Linked DNA regions of Yarrowia lipolytica. The protein of the gene in region 3 purifies or fractionates together with the protein of the main gene of each other region. This does not show direct contact. Links are inferred from orthologs where the notes say so. Each region holds a gene or a part of one and is shown on either strand. Other genes may lie near its edges.

Region 1 (6,302 bases), on a different chromosome or scaffold from region 3:
TCTTTCAGACTGGATTCAACTGGCAGTCTCTCCTATCCATCCCCATCAAATCTTCAGCCCATCAGCACCCATCACCATACCCCATCAACACCCATCAATACCCCATTAACACCCTCATCATGGCAATAAAAACACTAGAACAACCACATTCACCCAAAGAAGCTCGTTTGAAACAAGACACGCGGTTCGTGACTCTTCCACAGCCGGCTCCGCCGTTCCTCGAGTTCCTCCGATGCCCCGCTTGCCAGACGTTGGTCTTGAGTATCGAAAGGAGAAACCACCGGTTGACCAGGTGTCCGAAGAGGATGTAAGGGTGTGAGCAACTTGTTTGGATCAACATCTGACGGATATACATCTGACGATATACATCTGACGAATATCCAAGTTCTCTAAAAAAATATAACATGTGACAATCACCCGCCTCTCGAACCATCTGAAACCCCCCATACCACAATACGCTACAATCATTGAAGCTCGTCTAATGCCAATGAACACCAAGTACCCACGTTACGACATGTTCCATCGTGACTTTGTCTGCGGTACAGCTATAACTACACGTGAAGCTGGGTTTCTCCTCTACCACTTTAAAGACCTAGGAAAAGTACATTTATAGAAGGCGGTTGGGCAAGTGATGATTGTACGGCAGTTAATCGCTCCAGGCTGTATCTCACATAGTTCTGACTACAGTGTCTGTACTTGCTACCTTGCTACTTCAGTGAACATACAGTAGTAGGCTTTAGTTGGGTTTAGTTGGGAATATATGTATCGTAAGAAAAAAAAAAAATGCGGAAAAAAATGCGGAAAAAAATGCGGAAAAAAAATGCAGTTGAAAAAGTGTCAAATGATATACAGAGTCCAAATGCCAGAGAATTTATCTAAAGACATCAAGTTACACTATCACGCAGCCATATGTCTACTGCGACCAGATCGGCTCTTACGGGAATCAGTGTATATTACGTACAACCGTCCAAACCTCTTGAAGCGGCCTACAGTATCAACTCACTTCAATCAGCAATATCAATTTTCATTTACGTACATCTTACACAATAGTCAGAGCAATAACAACGTACCAGGCCATTTATAACAGTGGCTTGATGTTGTCCGCTCCTGATCTCCTAATCTCCGAGATCCCTTATTTGATTCCAAAAGTAGTCTTGAGGTTTCTGAGCAACAGCCAGTCCTCTCGGGGCACGTCGTTTCGGAAAACGGGGTCCTTGAGAGTATCAATGGACTTTCGGGTGATGGACGAGTACAGAACATCCTTCTCGTCAATGTGTCGGCCCCAAGTAGGCTGTCCGGAAGAAGTATCGATTCGCATAGCCACACCAGCGTTGGTCTGGCCCTTTCGAACAACAGATTCGGACTTGTGGTTCACCTCCATGGAAGTCACCTTACCGAGCTCGAGCACCTCTCGTGCACCGGTCTCGGGGTTGGTCTTAACGGCACAGATGGGGGTTCCAATTCGCAGAGAGCCCTCAACAACGTCGACACCAATGATCATGGGCGATCGCTTGTTGATGATCTGGACAGTGTGCAGAACACAAGGGAAAACGGCCTTGTCGATGGTGTCCAGTCGCTTCTGCTCCTGCAGCTTCTTCTGGTGCTTGACAAAGTCGTCAAACAGATGGTAGATAATATCAGCCGAGAAAAGCTTGACACCCTGCTCGTCAGCATATCGCTCGGCGTCCTTGTCGATCTTGACGTCGAAACACAGCATGATGGCCAGCGACTTGTCCTTCTCCAGCATGGTGGTGGCTCGCATCACATCCTTTTTGTAGACGGGACCTAGAGCAATGGACATGACGGGGATCTTCATATCCTTGAGGAAGTCGAGAAGAGCCTCCAGGGAACCAAGAGTGGAAGCCTGGACACACACACCACGTCCAGACTTGTCAACGGAGTCAAGGAGGCCGGTAAGATCGTCCATGACATCGTCCATGAGTTCCTCCTCATCATCATCAGGACCCACAAGCAGCAGACGAGAACCAGCCACGGCCTTGTCCAGGTCGTTGGCGGCAATCTTGACACCGAGAGCAGCCTTGACCTCCTTGTGGTGCTGGTAAGCAGACTTGATTCGCAGCTCTCTGAGCGGCTGGGGAGTGAGTAGAGCTCTGACGTTGGTGGCAATGGGGCCGTTTTGACCGCAAAGCACGACTCGGTCACCCTCGCGCAAGACACCGTTGGACAGAACAACATCGATGGTGGTTCCGAAACCTTCGACAACCTTGACTTCCAGAACGGTGGCCTCGAGCTCAGACAGGTACATGAGCTGCTTGGACATTCGGCTCTGAGTCAGCTGCAGCAGAAGAGCGAGCAGATCGGGAATACCCTCGCCGGTGATGGCGGAGGTGGGGACCAGAGACACATTCTTGGCCAGGTTCTTGTTCTTGTAGTAGACCTCAGAGTTGAGACCCTGCTCCATAAGAGCGGTCTTGGTCTTCTCGAGTCGGTCCTCAAACTCCCGCAGCACAGACTTCTTCTGCTTGGAGAGCGAATCTCGGAACGAGTTGTTGGGGATGGCCTCCCAGTCGAAGAGTCGATCAATCTTGTTGAGAGCGACCACGAAGGGCGTCTTCTTGTCTCGCAGCAGCTTGATGGACTCAATGGTCTGGGGCTCGAGGCCGTGCATGATATCAATCACCAGGATGGCAATGTTACACAGCGACGAACCTCGGGATCGCAGGTTGGTGAAAGACTCGTGACCGGGGGTATCGATCACCAGCAGACCAGGCACGTGGTAGTCAATCTCGCCGTACTGCTCCATGACCTCCGTCTTCTTTTTGATGGCCTCGATAGGGAAGTAGGTGGCACCAATCTGCTGAGTAATACCTCCAGCCTCGCCCTCCTGCACGTTGGTTTGTCGCACCTTGTCCAGAAGCTTGGTCTTACCGGTATCGACGTGGCCCAGAATACAACAAATGGGAGATCGCAGGTTTCCGGCATTGGCAGATGCAATGGCTCGCGAGTGCTTGGCGGCACGCTTCTCGGCAATGGCAGCAGACTTTCGTCGGGCCTCTTCAAGAGCCTCCTCGGCAGCAACTCGCTGTCGCTCCAGCTCGGTCTCGTCGTTGAGCTGGGTGCCCTCATCAGCAGCCTTCTGACGGGCCAGAGCGGCAGCCTGGGCCTCAGCTTCCTTGGCAGCAGCCTCAGCCTCCTCCTTGGCCTTGATGGAGGGGTCTTCCTTCTTGGTGATTTCAATCTCGCCATTCTCGTCGGCCATGGCCTCCCAGTCGTCCTTGACTTCTCCGTCAGAGTCCAGGGCAGTCTCCCAGTCGTCCATAAGGGCGTCAACATCGTCCTCCTCGGGAGACTCGGCCTCCTTCTTGACCTCCTTGGGCTTCTCAACAACCTTGTCCTCAACCTTGGGCTGCTTCTGGGCAGGAGTTCTGGTGGGCAGTCTGTTGTTGGTCTGCTTGGCGGGTGCTCGTCCACCGCCAACAATCATTCCGGCAGCCAGCATCTGCTCTCGTCGAGCCTCGGCGGCAGCTCGCTCCTGCTTCTGCTTCTTGGTCATATAAGTACCCTCAGCCTTCTGTCGCTCGACCTTCTGTCGTTCTCGCTCCTTCTTGGCGAGCCGTGCAGCCTCCTTCTCCTTCTCGGCCTCCTCAACAGCTCGCTGGGCAGCCTCCTCGGCAGCTCGCTCCTCCTCCTCGGCAGCAGCCATAGCGGCTTCCTGGGCCTTGATGGCATCCTGCTGGGCCTTGATCTTGGCAATAGCAGCAGCTCGGCCAGTCAGCTTCTTGGCGGGGGCGGCGGGGGCGGCCTCGGGCTCAGGAGACTTGGACTCGACCTTCTTGTCCTCCTTCTTGTCCTCCTTCTTGTCCTCTCCCTTGGCCTTCTTATCAGCAGCCTTTGCGTCGGCAGCGGCCTTTCGTGCGTCGGCAGCAGCCTTCTTCTTGGCCTTCTCCTGCTCCTTCTTGAGCTTGTCCTTCTGCTTCTTGGTCAGAATCACAGGAGCCTCCTCGGGCTCGGCCTTTGCGTCCTTGGCGTCTCGCGCGTCCTTCTTCTTCTTGGACTTTCGCAGCGCTCCCATCAGTCCTCCGCCCTCGAATTCGTCGGCAAGATCGTCCATAGTGGCCTCCTCGGGAGCGGCAGGGGTGGGCTCGGGGGTCGCAGAGGCGCTCTCATCGCCCTTGGGCACATCAGCAGCCCCAGCAGCCTTGTCCTCCACAGCAGGGGTCCCGTCGAGGTTCTGGGGAGTCGTGTCCATGCTCTCCTCCTCACTGTCGCTCCAGTCGCCGTAGCTTTGTTGCTTCTTTCCTTTCTTCGCCATCTTGTCGTGTCGTGAAAATGGTCAGGTATTCAGGTTGAGATGTGTAACTACATGGGTGAAAAAGTGAGAAATCACGTGATCCAAACCTTGTTACAAGAAGACACTGATTGCCCTCAAAGAGCGGGAAAAAAAAGGGAAAAGGACCGGTGGAAATGTGGCAAATCCCCGATATGAGATTTTTTTGTTTGTTTCTTAGGTTTCACATAACTCTGGCTCGGCTTTGTCGAACTACCGCAATCCACTTCTCAAACATATCAATCTAGGCCATATCTACGATTTCCTTGCAGCATCATCATTGCGCCAAACTAAAGTTTCCTTCAAAATTTTTCACAGATCGAACGCGGTTGTGGGTTCGATTCTGTGGTAGATACCATATAGTTGGTCTGGATGGGTGCGAGCATTGTCTTGCGCTCTTCTGAATACCTGGATCCGAGTCCGATATGGGGGTTCATATTTTTTTTTAGGCCTCTGTAGCCTGTGTTTGTATTTCCCCCTAGAATTAGAAATAAAAAAAAAAATAAAAATAAAAATAAAAATAAAATAAAAAAAAAATAAAATAAAAAAAATAAAAATAAAAATAAAAATAAAAAAAATAAAAATAAAAATAAAAAAATAAAAAAAAAAAAAAAAAAAAATAAAAATAAAAATAAAAATAAAAATAAAATATAAAAAAAAAAAAATAAAAATAAGATAAAATATTAATATATATATAATTAAATAAAAATATAAAAAAAAAAAAGATGGGGCATCGGACTAAAATAATGTACATACTGTTGCAGTACTTCTTGCAGTTAGTCTTCACCTTCATCTTAATCTTTAAGAGAGTAGTATTGAGAGTAGTCCAAACAAGTGGCATTGTGAGGAAACCAGCGAGTTGGTTGCCAGTCTCCACAAATGAAACAGTCTCGCTACCATTCACTCTCGCTACCATTCACTCTCGCTACCATTCACAGCTTCTCTGGTGAAGTGATATTGTCACGGATGGTCGCCTAGAGACTCCAGTTGTTGACCGCACTATCAATGTCCGGAACTACAGTGTCCAGAACCCCCCGCACTATCCGAGAGTCTGGACTGCTCTGCTCCATGTCCCATGAAACCCCAATCGTCGTCTGAATGAAGAAATGAAGCACCGATGGGGCTACTAGAACTTCACCAACTCTCACCTTGCCCGACGACTTTACTTGAGATCTGAGTACCCTCCTCGGTCTCAGCCGGTTTCAATTACGTCATTATTGGATCTCGGGCAAGTCATACTCTACCGCGCAGGAGTACGAGGCCATGAATCATGCCCTTGAACTTGCATACACCCATATTCCGGTCCTTGTTCTCGTGGAGAAGTTTCCCGGTGCCAGCGAAGACAAGATCCAGGGAGTTATCAACTACTATGGGCAGGATACATTAAGAATCTGAACGTGGCCAAGTACTGGGACAACTTTGACGCCATTGGCGACCTCAAGGACCACATCTTCGACAACAACGGTGATAAGGATGCGGATCTAGACTACACCAACCCTCCCCATGTTATCGTGAACTATATCATGCAGGATCCCGTTATCAAGAACCTCATTTTTTCGTGCCTCATGAAGTCGACGACTTACGAGCAAATACCGATGGGGACTGATGGACTTTGCCGACTCTTCTACTATGCCTACGCATCTCGACTGGTCGACTATTTTGGAGGACATCCGACACCTGAAGGAATCCACGACTGCCTACGACATTTATAGGAAGCTGGTCTGTCATACAGACATTGTCTATCTGCCTGGAGACGCCGACAACTCCAGGTTCATGGAGTGGGTCAATGCTATGGTTAAAGTCGAGGAGGAGTCCACCTTTGCGAGAGAAGGACCTGAGTTCTAGAGTGATCTCAACAGGCGCATGTTGGCCAACTTCAAACTCGAACCCACCATGAAAAGACGAGATCAAATGCTGACCAACCTGCGACTTTGAGACTACTCGAGCTACAATCTATGATATATATTCTGATTGGCGACAGGAGTCAGCTAAACCGGATTCAGTTGCGAGCTGT
Region 2 (4,060 bases), on a different chromosome or scaffold from region 3:
GACTCGGACTAATAAAACGATTGGTGTTAAGGCATGCTTCTTGTGCAACCAAACAGGTCACTTGGTCAGGGATTGTCCCCAGTACCAGGCGAAATTCTGCTTGCACTGTCGCACTAACGATCACTCGACTGCCGATTGTCTATTCAAATATGGACCCAACCGCAAAAGAGACAAAAAAGTACCCATCTGTTACAAGTGCAGTGAGAGTGGTCATATTGCCAGAGACTGCACTTATTCTCCGTTTGGTATAACCTATGTGCGTGGTCAGTCAACCGCTGGCAGGTCGTCGTGCTCGCCTCCTAAGGCAGCTGTTGAAAAGGGAAGCGATACGAGTTATGCCGAAAGTTCGGGCTCACTTGAGGGAGCTATCGAAACAGCAAGCGATGCTGACCGCCAAGCTCAAAGTGATGGTGATGATAAGCTCTCTGAAATGCTGGGATATGGTCATGGAACTGACTACTCCCCACCGTCTCCCATTACAAAGTGTTTTCGTTGCAGGGAATTTGGCCACTTGACTCAAGAGTGCACTGCCCCTCTGGAAATGTCGCATATCGAATACACATCGAAGGACAAGTGCCTCAGGTGCAAGAAGAGAGGTCACAGAGATATAGACTGTCCGGAACCAAATACAGCAGAGACCGAATCCCTCGAGGCTGAGACCCATGAGACTAATTCTGTGGCTTCTGCGGACTCTGTGGAACCTGTGGACCTCATTGAAAATCAGCCGGTTGAAATATCTCAAGGAGAGGTTCATTCCACCGAAGACCTGGGGTTTGCATCGGAGTAACCGTTCATTTGACAAAACATTGTGTGGTTCGGGTAATGTGTACAAGTGGTACATATGGTACATAATACATACATACTTAGGTCATTCAAACATGCGATTTTATTCCAGTCTATAAGTACATTTCCGTGTGTAAGCACCGTTAGTGGCTGTTCATCCCCTTTGCTTAGTCAAAAGTCATCTTCTTACCAGTGCTTTTGACGATACCCACAGAGGCTCTCTGGGCACTGGCCAGGACCTGTCCAGGCTTCTTTCGCGAGTAAGGTCGGTCCTCCTTGCTTCTCTTAGGCTTATCGTATGACTCCTTGTTCTCGGTGTATGCAGGCTTATCCTCAACCTGGGCAGGCTCTGAGTACTCCTTCTGTGCGGACTGACTCTCGTCAGCGACAGCACCCTCGACCTTTCGAGGCTTGGGCACTCGCTTACTTCGGTCTTCTCCGGCCTCGAGACGCAGAGTTCGACCCTCGAGGTACTTGTACAATCGTCCCTTAAGAGCTTTTCGAGTAGCGTCGGCGTCGTAAAAGTCCACAAAAGAGAAGCCCTTTGACTTGCCGGTATCTTCAAAAGACATCATTCGAACCCGTCGAATATCTCCGCAGGACTTGAAGTGGTCCTGCAGCATCTCCTCGGTTGCGTTGAAAGGCAGGTTTCCAACAAACAGCACCCGTGAGTCTGTGTCTGTAGGGTCCTTCTTCTCGGGCCGTCCCTCGAACGAGTTTGCGTTCTTGATAAGAAGTTTTCGGCCGTTAAGGATCTGCTCTGACAGGGAGACCAGTCGCTCCATCTTCTCGGCGGTGGGGACGTCAACGTAGGCGAAACCCTTCACCTTCTTGGTAACCTTGGACTTGGGCAGGTTAATTCGAAGCAAATCGTCCTCCTCAATCACCACCGCGTCGGAGTCCTCTTCAGATTTACCCAGCTTAGCCAGAATGAACCGCTTGATATCCTCCTTGCAAGTGTCGAACGACAGATTGCCAATCCACACTCCATGTTCGGACTTTTTGGACTTGCCCTCCTCCTCATCATCGGCCTTCTCGACAGGCAGCTTTCCCTTCTTTTCGAGACGCTTCTGTTTCTTGGACAGAGGAGCGGACTTTTCCAAGTCGATCTCAATTTCCTCCTCGATCTTTCGCTTGACGGTCACCTCGGAATCACTCATGTTGTGGTGGTAGCTGAATTTTGTCTCGAGGCTGAATTTTTTTCAGATAATGCAGGCCGCCAATAGAGTTTGAGGGTGGTCGATTTTTTTATTAATGAGTTGAAAATACGTCCCAACTATGATGCGAACTCGGGTGCATTGGAATTATTCAAGGTGGAGAGGTGACAACGGTAAAGAACATCCCAAGTATTATTGATTAAATATAGTTAATTTACCGACTTACAACTCACCTAAGGCGGCGCCGGCTATCCTCACCCTGCCCAGACCAATTTCTGGCCTTTCTGCTTTCAGATGCTTCTTCCCTTGTAACACACTCTTCTTACTATTTGTCACTGCCTCATACAGACCTTCACCTTTCTTCACCTTGCGTTTTCCCATCTATTGGGTGAAGTCGTCATTATAGTATCACAAAGCGATTGCTGACCTCCTTATCAAAGAAAACGCCTGTCTTCTTTGGGGTTTCCTCCGACACCATTCTCAAAGAAAACATCACTATGTTCACAACAGAGATGAGTGTCTTTTAAAGAATCTTGGTAACTGGTAAATCGAAAGAACCTTCGAAATGGCAATGCCCAACGGGAGATAGTGCATCGGCTAAAGAGGGATTCAAACACTTGCAATGCCAGCTTGTGCTTCAGAGTTCTGCGGCTGCGTATGGTGGCTGAATTGGTGACTGACTTGGTGGCTGATTGTGTGGCTCTCGCTGATCTCAATTGTCACGATGGCAACTGTTGATCTCACTGATGAGGTTACCAATAGTAATCCAAGTTGTTGATGGACCCTGCGGACGTGGGACACTGCTGAGGATGTGCGAAAATGTGTCGTGTACGTATCATTTTCTTGCACTTCTGGCACTTGTAATATTTGACGGGGATGTATGACATGATGTGATCGGAGTGAACGTTGGATGGCGTAGCTTGCTGGCGCTACAAGGATAACCGCCCTCTATATATGTCCGTCCTGTTAATCACATACCCAGGTCATGACTCGATCTGTTTCATCGGACAAACGAAATGGGGATTATTTCAGAAGGAACAATGAGGCTTGCACTCATGTGCATATCAACACTTGATGAACGCAATAAAGTGCATATTGGCACTTGCTGTAAGTGCTAATCATGCGAAGATGAGGATGACCTGCTTGTAGGCTACGATACGATACCTGTATCGTAGCCTCTGGGACTCATTTACAGTGACATGAGCTCGATGGGAGGCTCAAATACCCAGTTCATGTGGCAATAATTTGCTAGGTCCACTTTTGTTCCACACATAATAAAGCATGTTCGAGAGAGTGTATTATTATCAAGATACATCACTGTCGGCAAAGTCTTCGTCTCCCCGTCTGATACAAACTCGTGTCTTAAAAGGAGAGATAACTTCTGGATGCGGCTTGAGATGAGCAGGAATCGCGACTTGCATGAGCAGGAATGGGGCACAGTACGAGCACTGTTCTAGGACAAGTGTTGTTTTGCCGATACATTATAATCGTACATCAGCAGGATTTCATTTCTAGACTGTGAGAAAAATTACGATGCTGTGAGAAACACTACGATATTGTGAATCGGTGTCTTGCTATGTCGACAGTGTTATTTCTGATACATCACGTACTCTTTGTACATTGTTTGGGTCACCGGGAAGGTCATAACAGCATTTGGTTTTGGGGCAAAGTCGTCAGCGTCAGAACGAGGTTTGGGATTCGATTTACTTGAAGTGTTCTATCGTACAACTACAACATACAAGCGTCTGGTTGGGCAATTTGATGTGATACGGCTATTGTAAAAAATGCTCGATTTTTACTACACCTTTTCTACGGAGGTTCCTGTCGTTACGGTTGACGGAGAAAGAGTGGCCGAGAATTTGGGCTGTTTGAGACCGCCGAGCATGCCAATCCGGTTCGCTTTGAGTCTCCCTGTTCCACAGGAGCTTTGCCCTAACCTGTGATATCTGCATTGGTTCAAGGTGTCGGTGTGGCAAAGGAAGTGGTGGTCAACATCGGCCACCAGTAACTCTCCGGAGAACGGAAAGGCTACAATCGACGGAAACAGCCACAATCGACGGAAACGACCACACAACTGAATCCATAATCCCCAGAGTTGGCTACCTTTACCCATTGCTGAC
Region 3 (5,282 bases):
CGGTACTTGAGAGTGGCCTTCTTGATCTTGGATCGGTCGGTCCAGGTGACAAAGTCCTCCATGTTTCGGGTCACCAGAAACGCAGGGTCGGTGACAATGTGAGGACCCACTCTCACGTGACCCTGCTCGATCATGGCAGTTCCAGCGTCCAGTTTTTGGGTCATCTTGAGTTTGTGCATGATGACGGGGAGTCGTCGCTTGGCGATAGCAGACACAGATATCTTGGTCTCCAGATGCGAAACGGTGGTGTTAGTGGAAAGAATGCCCATCTGGTAGAGTTTGTCGAGAAGCAGCTTTTCGTGCTTGATTCGAACAGGGTCGTCCGGTTGGAGCTGAGATAGCTTGTATGCTAATTGTCGGATCTTACCGCAGATTTTGTTGTACTTGTTGTAGTCGTCTCGGTCCTGCAGATGGAAGGTGCCCATCACCTGCTGTTCACGGTGGCCATTATCTGTCTTCCAGTTGACAAAGTCGACCTTCTTGAGCAGCTTGCCCTCGTGGTGCTTGAACTGTCGTACCATTTTGTCAAAGGTGTTGTGAAGAAGTGGTGATATCTTTCCCTGCACCGTGAAGAATAATTTGGGATTTTTTTGATATAGAGTTTTGCCATGCATAGAAGCGAGTATCAAGGAAAATGCTTAGATGGGTATTTGGTGTGACTACCACCGAGACTACTTGTAGTATTGTTTGTGTTGGTTTTTGGTTTGATTTTTTATTTTTTTTAGTTATTTTTATTTATTTATTTTCCAACTATTAAATATGCCATACCTTGGTAACTTGTTAATACTTCCTTTTCGATCTCCTTCTATTTCATTTGGAAATTCTCAACATTTCTGATCTATGGATTGATCTTTCCAAAAAAAATATATATGTATATATCAAAGCATCCCTCTCTATCGTATGCACTTGTACGCGAGTGGCAAACAACTCTTTACTTGTAGTAAAACAGTATCCTCAACTTATCCTATCATACCTCTATTACCAAATATATCTTTATACAACGTGTTTTCGCTTAAAGCAGGTCAACAATGAGCTTGGAACCCTTGTTTCCATCCTCGGCAGCAGCAGCAATCTCCTTCTTACTGTCCTTGAGAGTCTTTTTGAGCTCCTTCTTCAGCTTATCGTCCTCCAGGTTCTCCAACAGAGTCACAATGACAAAAGCACCGTCTCCAGTGGCCCATGCGACAACGTGATCCCCAATTGCATCGTAGAACTTGGCACCGAAGTCGATGGGAGTCTCGACCTTGACTACCTTCTTCTCCTTGTTGTTCCAATGTCCCTGTTGAATGAGGGTTCGCAGAGCTCGCTGAGCGTTGGGCTGCTTGATGACGTGGTTGTCACCGGCGGGATCGGCAGACAGAACCTCCATAAGAGCAGCGATAGCCTCAGACTTGTCACCGTCACACGACAGAAGAGCCTCAGAAATGAACTGAGAACCCAGGGTGTCGTTCATGAGCTCGTAAGCGTTGTTGGCAATGGCCTCGAGAATCAGAGGGGACATTCCCTTGTTGATCTCCTCCAGTCGAAGAGCATCATCCTTCTTGGCAGTACCAGTTGCGGTCTTCATCTCATCGTACTGCTTGAGCTGATCCAGAACCAGCTTGTTGAAGTATCGAGAGTCTCGGCCTAGCATGGCATACAGGAAGGGTCGTCGACCGTTCTTGTCCATGAACAGCTCATGCACGGGCTTCTCGGAGAGCTCACCAGAAAAGGCCTTAACAACACTCTTGGTATCGTCAATGGTGTCAAAAGCAGTCATCATGACCATGTGTCCGTACTGATCAGCAGCCAGGGTGTCGGCAAAGCTCTTGAGCGACTTGAGAAGACCCTTCTTCTCCTTGGCAGAAGCCATGGCCAGAGTCTTGCAAGCCACCTGCGATCCCTCGTTAGTATGCACCATCTCTGCAAACTGCTCGCCAATCAGATCGATGAATTCGGTCTTCTCCGAGTTGTTGGTGTCAAGGTTGCTGACGTACTCAAGCATGGCAGCATGAATGACGGTGAAACCAATGGAACCCTTGTTGACAGCAGCAGTGATAGTTTCGTTCAGGTTTCGCATGATGATGGGTCGCTTCTCGGGGGCGTCCTCGATAATATCCTTAAGGGTCTTTGTGCCAGCAGCGTCTCGGAAAACGGCAAACTCGGCACCGAAAAACTCTTGGATGATTTGTCGCTTCTGAGCAGCAGTGCTGTAGTCTCTGTAGGCATCCTCCAGCACATAGGCACCCTCCTTATGACGCATGAGCTTTCGGAACCGGCCGTGCAGCTCGTCAATAATAGATTGTCGAACGGCAGCAGATCCGTAATGCAGCATCTTGACCAGCAGGTACTTTCCGTAAGACGAGATGGCCAGGTCGTAGTAGTTGCCCTTCAGCGCCTTTGTGATGATCTCTCGCTTCTCCTTGTCAGCGTACTTGAACAGAGTCTGGATAATTCGCGATGCGTCGTGCTTGAGAATCAAGTTCTTGATATCGTTCTTGGAAATGGCCCAGATATCCTCCACCAGCTGCTTTCGCTCAGCAGGCTTGACACCAGTCTTCATTCGGAGCCGCTCCCAAATCTGCTTGATCTGAGCGATACTCTCTCCTCCAGATCGAGCAAGCTTTCGTTCCTTCAACAGGCGCTTCTGCTCAGCATGGCTCTCGGCAGCACTAGACTTGCCGGCAGGGGCCTCCTCTCCGTCCTCCTTGGTCTCCTCATCCTCCTCGTCGTCGTCAAGAGCGTCCTCTTCGTCATCTTCCTCCTTCTCCTCGTCGCTGTCGCTCATCTCCATGTCGTCAGAATCGGAGTCATCGGAGTCCTCCTCCTGATCCTGTTCCTCATCAGTAGATGCAAAATCCTCCTCGGAAGAAGCCTCTTCGACCTCCTCAACCACCTTCTTGGCGCCCTTCTTGCCAGTGGACTTCTCCACCAGTTTGACCTTCTTGGACACCGTCTTCTCTCGACTGTCAGCTGATCGTTTAGCAGAACCCATTGTGTGTAATGTGTAGTGTATAGCTGTGTCTGTGGCCGAATATGCGAGTTTGAAAAACTTCAAAAATAATTTCGAATAAGCTTCATAAAATTTTAGAACCCTTACCCGTATCAGTGGTGAGCGAACGAGGCGATTCTAACGCCACTTGGGCAGAATGTGGGGAAATATATGTACAGGGGGAAGTTGTTCTTGTCTTATATATGGCATTTTTCAAGATGTATGTTTTTTTAAGTCACTAAATAACTCTTTTAAGGCACTATTCTCTTGTCTGATTCTGGGTGTCTTGTACACACCAGCTATCCAACAATAGTATTAAGTAAACAAAGTATATTTAGTTGATCAAATTACCTCAATAGAAAGAGTAAAATAGCCACGAAATTCAAAGAATATTTCATATCGTAGCTGTTCTCTATAATGCTTGCCATTTGTGTACTTGTACAATACGTATATGTTACTGTTTTCGTCAGCTTCGCCATGTATCCTTTGTTGCCAGTCTCAGAATGCAAGTGTACCGGTGACAGATTACCCAGACGAACAACCCATAGCAGTGGCACGGTAAGGTCGTGTTCATATCAACCGAAAGCTCTTACTCTGACAATCGTTACTTGTATTTAGAACTGATACTCTTTTTTTTTAGTTCTAATGACCTTCAATCATATTGTGAAGCGTCTAAAAAAGTGCCCTCGACTAAATGCTGTACAACATTGACATTCACACGGACCATGTCTGGGCTCTGGTTACTCTATAAATAAAATGTAATCACCGGTAATTACACCGGACAACACTGGTAGTTGAGGGCGTACTCAAATGAGGTGAAAGGGGTTGGTCTTGCCCATTGCAACTTGGATCTCTGAGGATCCGAGAGCATCCAGCTCGAAGCTAACCAAGAGTAGAAAGCTGAGCGAGGCACAGGGCGTTCATGGGGAGAAGGATGGAAAAATATAAATAACTAATGATCGAGGTTCATCTGGTTGACGAGATGCTCAATGTCCCGGGCCTCCAGTTCCAAGGCTTCCTGGATCATCCGTTCTTCTTCGTCTTCCAGTGCGCCATCTTCGTCGTCGGTCAGATCCATGACTACGTCCACGTTTCCGTCGAGATCGCCGTCGACGAGCCCATCGACAGCTCCATGGACCGATTCGTGAGACTGTAACTCGTCTCGCAACAGCTGTTCCAGCTGGTGCTCATCGCCAATGTCTGGCAGCTCAAGGGCTCCTGCCTCCACCAAGAGACGCAAGTCGCGGGCCAGTTCGCCCTGGATGACGTCCGCCTCCATTTCAGAGATAGCAGTTCTTTTGGCCAGCACATTTTTGATGCGTCGCAGCCGGAGGTGCTGTTGGTGAGCGGCCACGTGGCGGTTGCGGGTATCGTACACGTCCTCGTCCACCATGCCGCGCGTCGCCACCCGATACTTGCCGTTTTCGGCTGGTTTGGTTGCACTCATGGCATGCTGGAGTGGATCCAAAGAGAGGTGCGGAATGAAATGTTCGGATCCAGATGCACAAGAAAAATCAGGTCCCAATCAGTGAGCAGGGTAACTGTATTTCTGAGGACGGTTCCTCTCAGCAGGGTAATAGGAGGGTGGAAGTGGTGGCAGAGGGCTATAAAATAGTATTTGTGTCACTATAATAAGACAGATTGATTCCGGTTGATGTTTTTTCTGGTGGAAAATCCACTTTTTATCTCTTCAGCTTGCCTATGACCCGTGCTATAGGGGTAGGTCCAACCTACAAGTAGAGTCAGTAATTACTTAAGACAGCACCGAACGAGATATTATATATATACTAAAAACACGGCGGTTGTAAGAGCACCGCCATTCAAATATAATACAAGTGCCGTACTGATTGTTGATGTCAGGAACCACTGCTCGTACGCCGATGTTCCTGGTACAGTCTAGTCCAAACGACACCCTATCTATCGTACCAGTATGTACTCGTACTCGTACTCGTACATAATTAGATCGCGAACCTCAGCACACTGCGTATAGTCGTTCCGACAAGGACTGCAGAGTAAATGCTGTAGCATCTGTGGGAGTGTTTGTTTGCATCGCATCATTCTGCAACAACAGTTGTATTCTCTTTTGATAGGTCGGTCTCTCCGTGCGAGATATTCCATCTTCTATCCTACATTGTACAGTAGTGCCTGTGCCTATGATCCGTGTATAGATCACCAATCCCCTTCGGCCGTTTCTATATCTACAATATGGGGAAAACTTCTGACAGACTATTCCCCAACAACGACTTATTACTGACTGTACACAGCTGTCATACACTGTAACCGAGATGCACGATCAATGTTGAGCTACTCG
Region 4 (3,950 bases), on a different chromosome or scaffold from region 3:
TGGAGTATACCGCAGCCTTGGGACAGTTGATCATATGGACTATTCTCGTGTTTGGTGTCATTTGGTCAAGTTTTCAGGGGTATTTGGTTGCCCAGAAAAAAGTTTTGTCCCCGTTTCTGCTCATGAATTATCTCTTCTGCATCATTGGATGGGCACTTATTCTGTGCAAGCCTTCAGAACACAACTGGTGGATCAAATTCGGAGGGGGCTGGTTCACGATTCCTAATGCAACTGCTGCCTTTGCTTCTCTTTGTGGATGGCTGGGGAGTAATGTTCAGGGCAGAAACAAGCGACTCATGTCCTTCGCCATTTTCTCGTCTGTGAGCTGCTGGTATGGAGTACTGGTCCTGAGAGTCTTCACCTCAACAGATGGTCCACTCTTCAAACGGGGATGTTGGATCAACATGGGGTTCATGATCGCTTCGGTATTTGGTACTCTGGGTATTGTCTTCTTTCTGAAACGACGACGCATCAGTGGAACAAATCATGCGACCATCAGTGAGACCCAGAAGGAGTTTGTGTATATGCTGTAAAGAAGTATTCGAGCATTTTATTTATCCAGGAGTAACGGCTAATGATCTGATAATAGTACAGTATGTACTGTAGATATATACGTAGTAAGTTCGCACTTCGGTGTTGAATTCATATCACACGCAACACACTGAAACTCGTTACAACTCACTCCAACCATATCTACGCCCTATTCCTGGCTATCCTATAATACATGCATGCAATAAACTATCTACCAGTACGGTCCAACGTGTCCTACTCCTTCTTGGTTCGCTTGGCCTTGGCTCGAGCTCGCTCCTTGTCCAGGTTCTTCTTTCGTTCAGTGGAAGACAGGTATCGGAACTTCTTCTTGGTCTTCTTGACCAGCTTCTTGACCTTGGGCTCAGCCATGCCGGAGTAGACAGCGGCCAGACCAGCCTTGTCCAAGCTTTCCTTCAAGACCTCGTCAGCCTTGGACATGTCCACATATGTGTTGTTCTGGTCCTCATCATCGGAATCAAGGGACACGGCCTCAATGGTCACCGTGGTTTTCTTTCCCTGACCGTCCACGTACTTCTTCTTTTGCTTCTTGAGCACTCCGGGCTTATCGATACCCTCCCAGTCGGAGAAGTCGTCTTCATCAGTGCTAGACGACTTTTTCGACTTCTTTAAAGTCTTCTCTTCGTCCTCCTCTTCGTCCTCCTCTTCATCCTCAGACTCGTCGCCAGAATCAGAATCCTTCTCGTCGTCAGTGCTGAAATAGCCCGATCGAGCTCTCTCGATATCCTTCATGGCCTTCTGCATTCGAGCTCGCTCCTTTTCCTGGTCACCTTTTCTTTCGTCTCGCAATTTTTTCCGCTCGGCGATCCGGTCCAGCCGCGCCTGCTCCTTGGCCTTCTCTTGCGCCTTTTCCTTTCGTTGCAGCTTTCGCTTTCGGAAGCCCGTCAGGTACTCCTTCCGGTTGGCGGCGTCGTAGGAGACCTCATCCACGCCAAACTGGCTAGTTTTTTTCTTGGCGTATGACCGGTCGCCCTGCGTCAAGATCTGTCTGTTGGTGGCGGCCATTTTGGGGAGTGTCTTGGGGTATATAGGGGTCAGGCCAAAACTCGAAAATGAGGTGAACGCTTAAATGAAAAATATCAGTGGAGGTTTAGACCTGCATGAGACTCGAACTCTGTTATGAGGAAGGCACTACTTGTAGACGGGGTGTATGAAATGAAAAGAAGAATGAGGAAGCGGAAGTGGAAGCCGGGACATTCTGAGCACTTTGGACCATGGATTGAAGATCCGGGCCGAGTTTCGAACCGATCAGTGATGCATAACAGCTTCAAATACGAACCCTGAGTGTGATAGAGCGACATGTTACAATTGTATGGGCAGTGGCGTGAGTTCGATTCACTCTACTGGCACGATATTGTAGGGAGGTAAGTTCAGGCTGGCTGACCACTGAAATATGACATGACTAAGCTTTGATGGAGACCGAGAAGAAAGGAACTGGATAAGTAATCCCACTCACAGTACAGTATCAACTAATTATATCACATGATCACATCAATATGTACCCACCCCTATACACGTGTAAAAAGAACTGTACACTCGTACAAGTACAAGACAGGATTGTACTGGTACTTTCGCAGCTCATTCAAATCAGCAAACTCAAATCCTCTATCTAACATCTACTTTTCAGACACCGAAGCCTTCCTCCACCACCATGAACGCCATTGATGGAACGTCCCGCCAGCTCAAGGACACGGAGGATCAGACTCTGGACGACACGCCGTCGTTGTTGTCGATCATCATTGACGCCCATGTGCCGTCGTGGGAAGAAATCAAGTCGCAAATATCCATCTCGGAGGCTGTGGCTTCCATTCTCGTCTTCATCAACGCCCACTTGGCTCTGCACAACTCCAACAGCGTTAATGTGATTGGATACAACGCCAGTGGTGCTCGAATTTTGTATCCTCCTAAAAGCGGCGTTGAATCGACTAGATCAAAGGAGAGAGAAGAGAGATCGGAGAGTGTAAGCGATGGAGAACAGGCACCCAGCAAGAAGGACCACTCCATGTACAGACAATTCAAGACGGTGGACGAGGTTGTGCAGACGGAGCTGTGGAACATGCTGAACCACACCAACTACGTGGAGGAGGAGAAACAACACAACTCGGCCATCTCCGGAGCACTGAGTCTAGCTCTAGGGTTCATAAACAAACATGTGTTTGTGGACGAGTCGAGAATGCGAGCAAGGATCCTGCTGCTCACCGTCGGACACAAAAACGAAACCATCCAATACATCCCTACTATGAACTGCATTTTCGCCGCCCAAAAGCTCAAGATCCCCGTCGATGTGTGCAAACTGGGTCCTGGATCCGACCAGGTCTTTCTGCAACAAGCATGCGACTCGACACACGGCATCTACATGGATATCAGTGAAAAGAACTCCAAAACACCCAAGGGTTTGGTTCAGTATCTGCTATCGGGCTTTATCTCAGACCCCAGTTTACGACCCCATATTGTGCTGCCCACCCAGTCCAATGTGGACTTTCGAGCAGCATGTTTCCTGACTAAACAGGTGGTGGATATTGGCTATGTCTGCTCTGTCTGTCTGTGTATCATGAGCCAGATTCCCAGCAACAGAAGATGTCCTACATGCGATACTACCTACTCTGAGAAGACTTTGGCTGGTTTGGGTCGAAAACCTCTCAAGAAGAAGAAAAAGAAGGTCGTTAAGCCATAGTTGCTATTAGACCGATCCCTAACATGAACCAGTGCGGTTCATATAGCATAGATGTAAACATAATGCAATGTATTTGTATAACCCTTGATGAATGGTTAGTGTATGTGGCCAGAATCGGCAGTTGAATGTGTATACATGTAAAGTTATTGGCGCTGTGTCGATCTCGTCGTCTCTACAGCACTGCTTGCGATATCCCCCTCAGACGTGCCCATTGTGAGTTTGGAAACCAAAAACTCACAACCACCCGTCTAGCCCTGAGTTGCTCATCCTCGACTCATCACTGCTTCAAAAGCGAAACCTCACCCTCCTTCAGTCCTTTTGTCACCAGTCCAAACCTGAAGTTCTTCGGATACCCATGCTTGTCAACCAGATGCATCCTCCTCTTCCTGTACTCTGCAAACCGTTTATCACAGCCCTCCTCAAAACATGCAAGATATTTGTCGCCGCGGTCACGTGATATCGCTACGAACGGGTCGTGTTCTTCGTCCAGATGCAGATTCAGAAATTTTTCGCTCGGAAACCTGGCCTGACAAGTGGTGCATGTCCAAGTATGGCTGGTTGAGTAATGACTTTCGAAGGCCTCCAATGACGCAAAAGAGATTGGATCGGGGTGCAGCGAGCAGGTATAAGTGGTTGGATAGGTATTTGGAGTTGGTGCAAAATCTCTGCAGGTATCTTCGAGGTCTTCATCTCGGCTTCTTTTCATGATGACGACTGAGTGTAGTTG

The links.
Region 1: the proteins of YALI1_F23109g (region 3) and YALI1_A01061g purify together in Saccharomyces cerevisiae (affinity purification with mass spectrometry; 3 studies listed by BioGRID, with this or other methods). This does not show direct contact. The link is inferred for Yarrowia lipolytica from reciprocal best matches to the Saccharomyces cerevisiae genes PUF6 and FUN12.
Region 2: the proteins of YALI1_F23109g (region 3) and YALI1_A03964g purify together in Saccharomyces cerevisiae (affinity purification with mass spectrometry; 4 studies listed by BioGRID, with this or other methods). This does not show direct contact. The link is inferred for Yarrowia lipolytica from reciprocal best matches to the Saccharomyces cerevisiae genes PUF6 and NOP13.
Region 4: the proteins of YALI1_F23109g (region 3) and YALI1_C05813g purify together in Saccharomyces cerevisiae (affinity purification with mass spectrometry; 3 studies listed by BioGRID, with this or other methods). This does not show direct contact. The link is inferred for Yarrowia lipolytica from reciprocal best matches to the Saccharomyces cerevisiae genes PUF6 and RRP17.

The regions. Positions count from the first base shown.
Region 1 is NC_090770.1:101,880-108,181, forward strand, and holds YALI1_A01061g (uncharacterized protein), read right to left. Parts: upstream 4,274-6,302; coding exon 1,133-4,273; downstream 1-1,132. Other genes in the region: YALI1_A01074g (uncharacterized protein), read left to right, coding at 5,552-5,618, 5,666-5,846, 5,875-6,133. UniProt on the Saccharomyces cerevisiae protein: Plays a role in translation initiation. Translational GTPase that catalyzes the joining of the 40S and 60S subunits to form the 80S initiation complex with the initiator methionine-tRNA in the P-site base paired to the start codon.
Region 2 is NC_090770.1:394,485-398,544, forward strand, and holds YALI1_A03964g (uncharacterized protein), read right to left. Parts: upstream 1,944-4,060; coding exon 951-1,943; downstream 1-950. Other genes in the region: YALI1_A03937g (uncharacterized protein), read left to right, coding at 1-787.
Region 3 is NC_090775.1:2,308,673-2,313,954, reverse strand, and holds YALI1_F23109g (uncharacterized protein), read right to left. Parts: upstream 2,975-5,282; coding exon 1,013-2,974; downstream 1-1,012. Other genes in the region: YALI1_F23133g (uncharacterized protein), read right to left, coding at 1-614; YALI1_F23095g (uncharacterized protein), read right to left, coding at 3,924-4,418. UniProt on the Saccharomyces cerevisiae protein: RNA-binding protein involved in post-transcriptional regulation. Component of the ASH1 mRNP which transports the ASH1 mRNA to the distal tip of the bud, where the ASH1 protein is translated and targeted to the daughter cell nucleus.
Region 4 is NC_090772.1:579,845-583,794, forward strand, and holds YALI1_C05813g (uncharacterized protein), read right to left. Parts: upstream 1,555-3,950; coding exon 766-1,554; downstream 1-765. Other genes in the region: YALI1_C05789g (uncharacterized protein), read left to right, coding at 1-533; YALI1_C05820g (uncharacterized protein), read left to right, coding at 2,201-3,223; YALI1_C05837g (uncharacterized protein), read right to left, coding at 3,501-3,929. UniProt on the Saccharomyces cerevisiae protein: Essential protein involved in ribosomal RNA processing.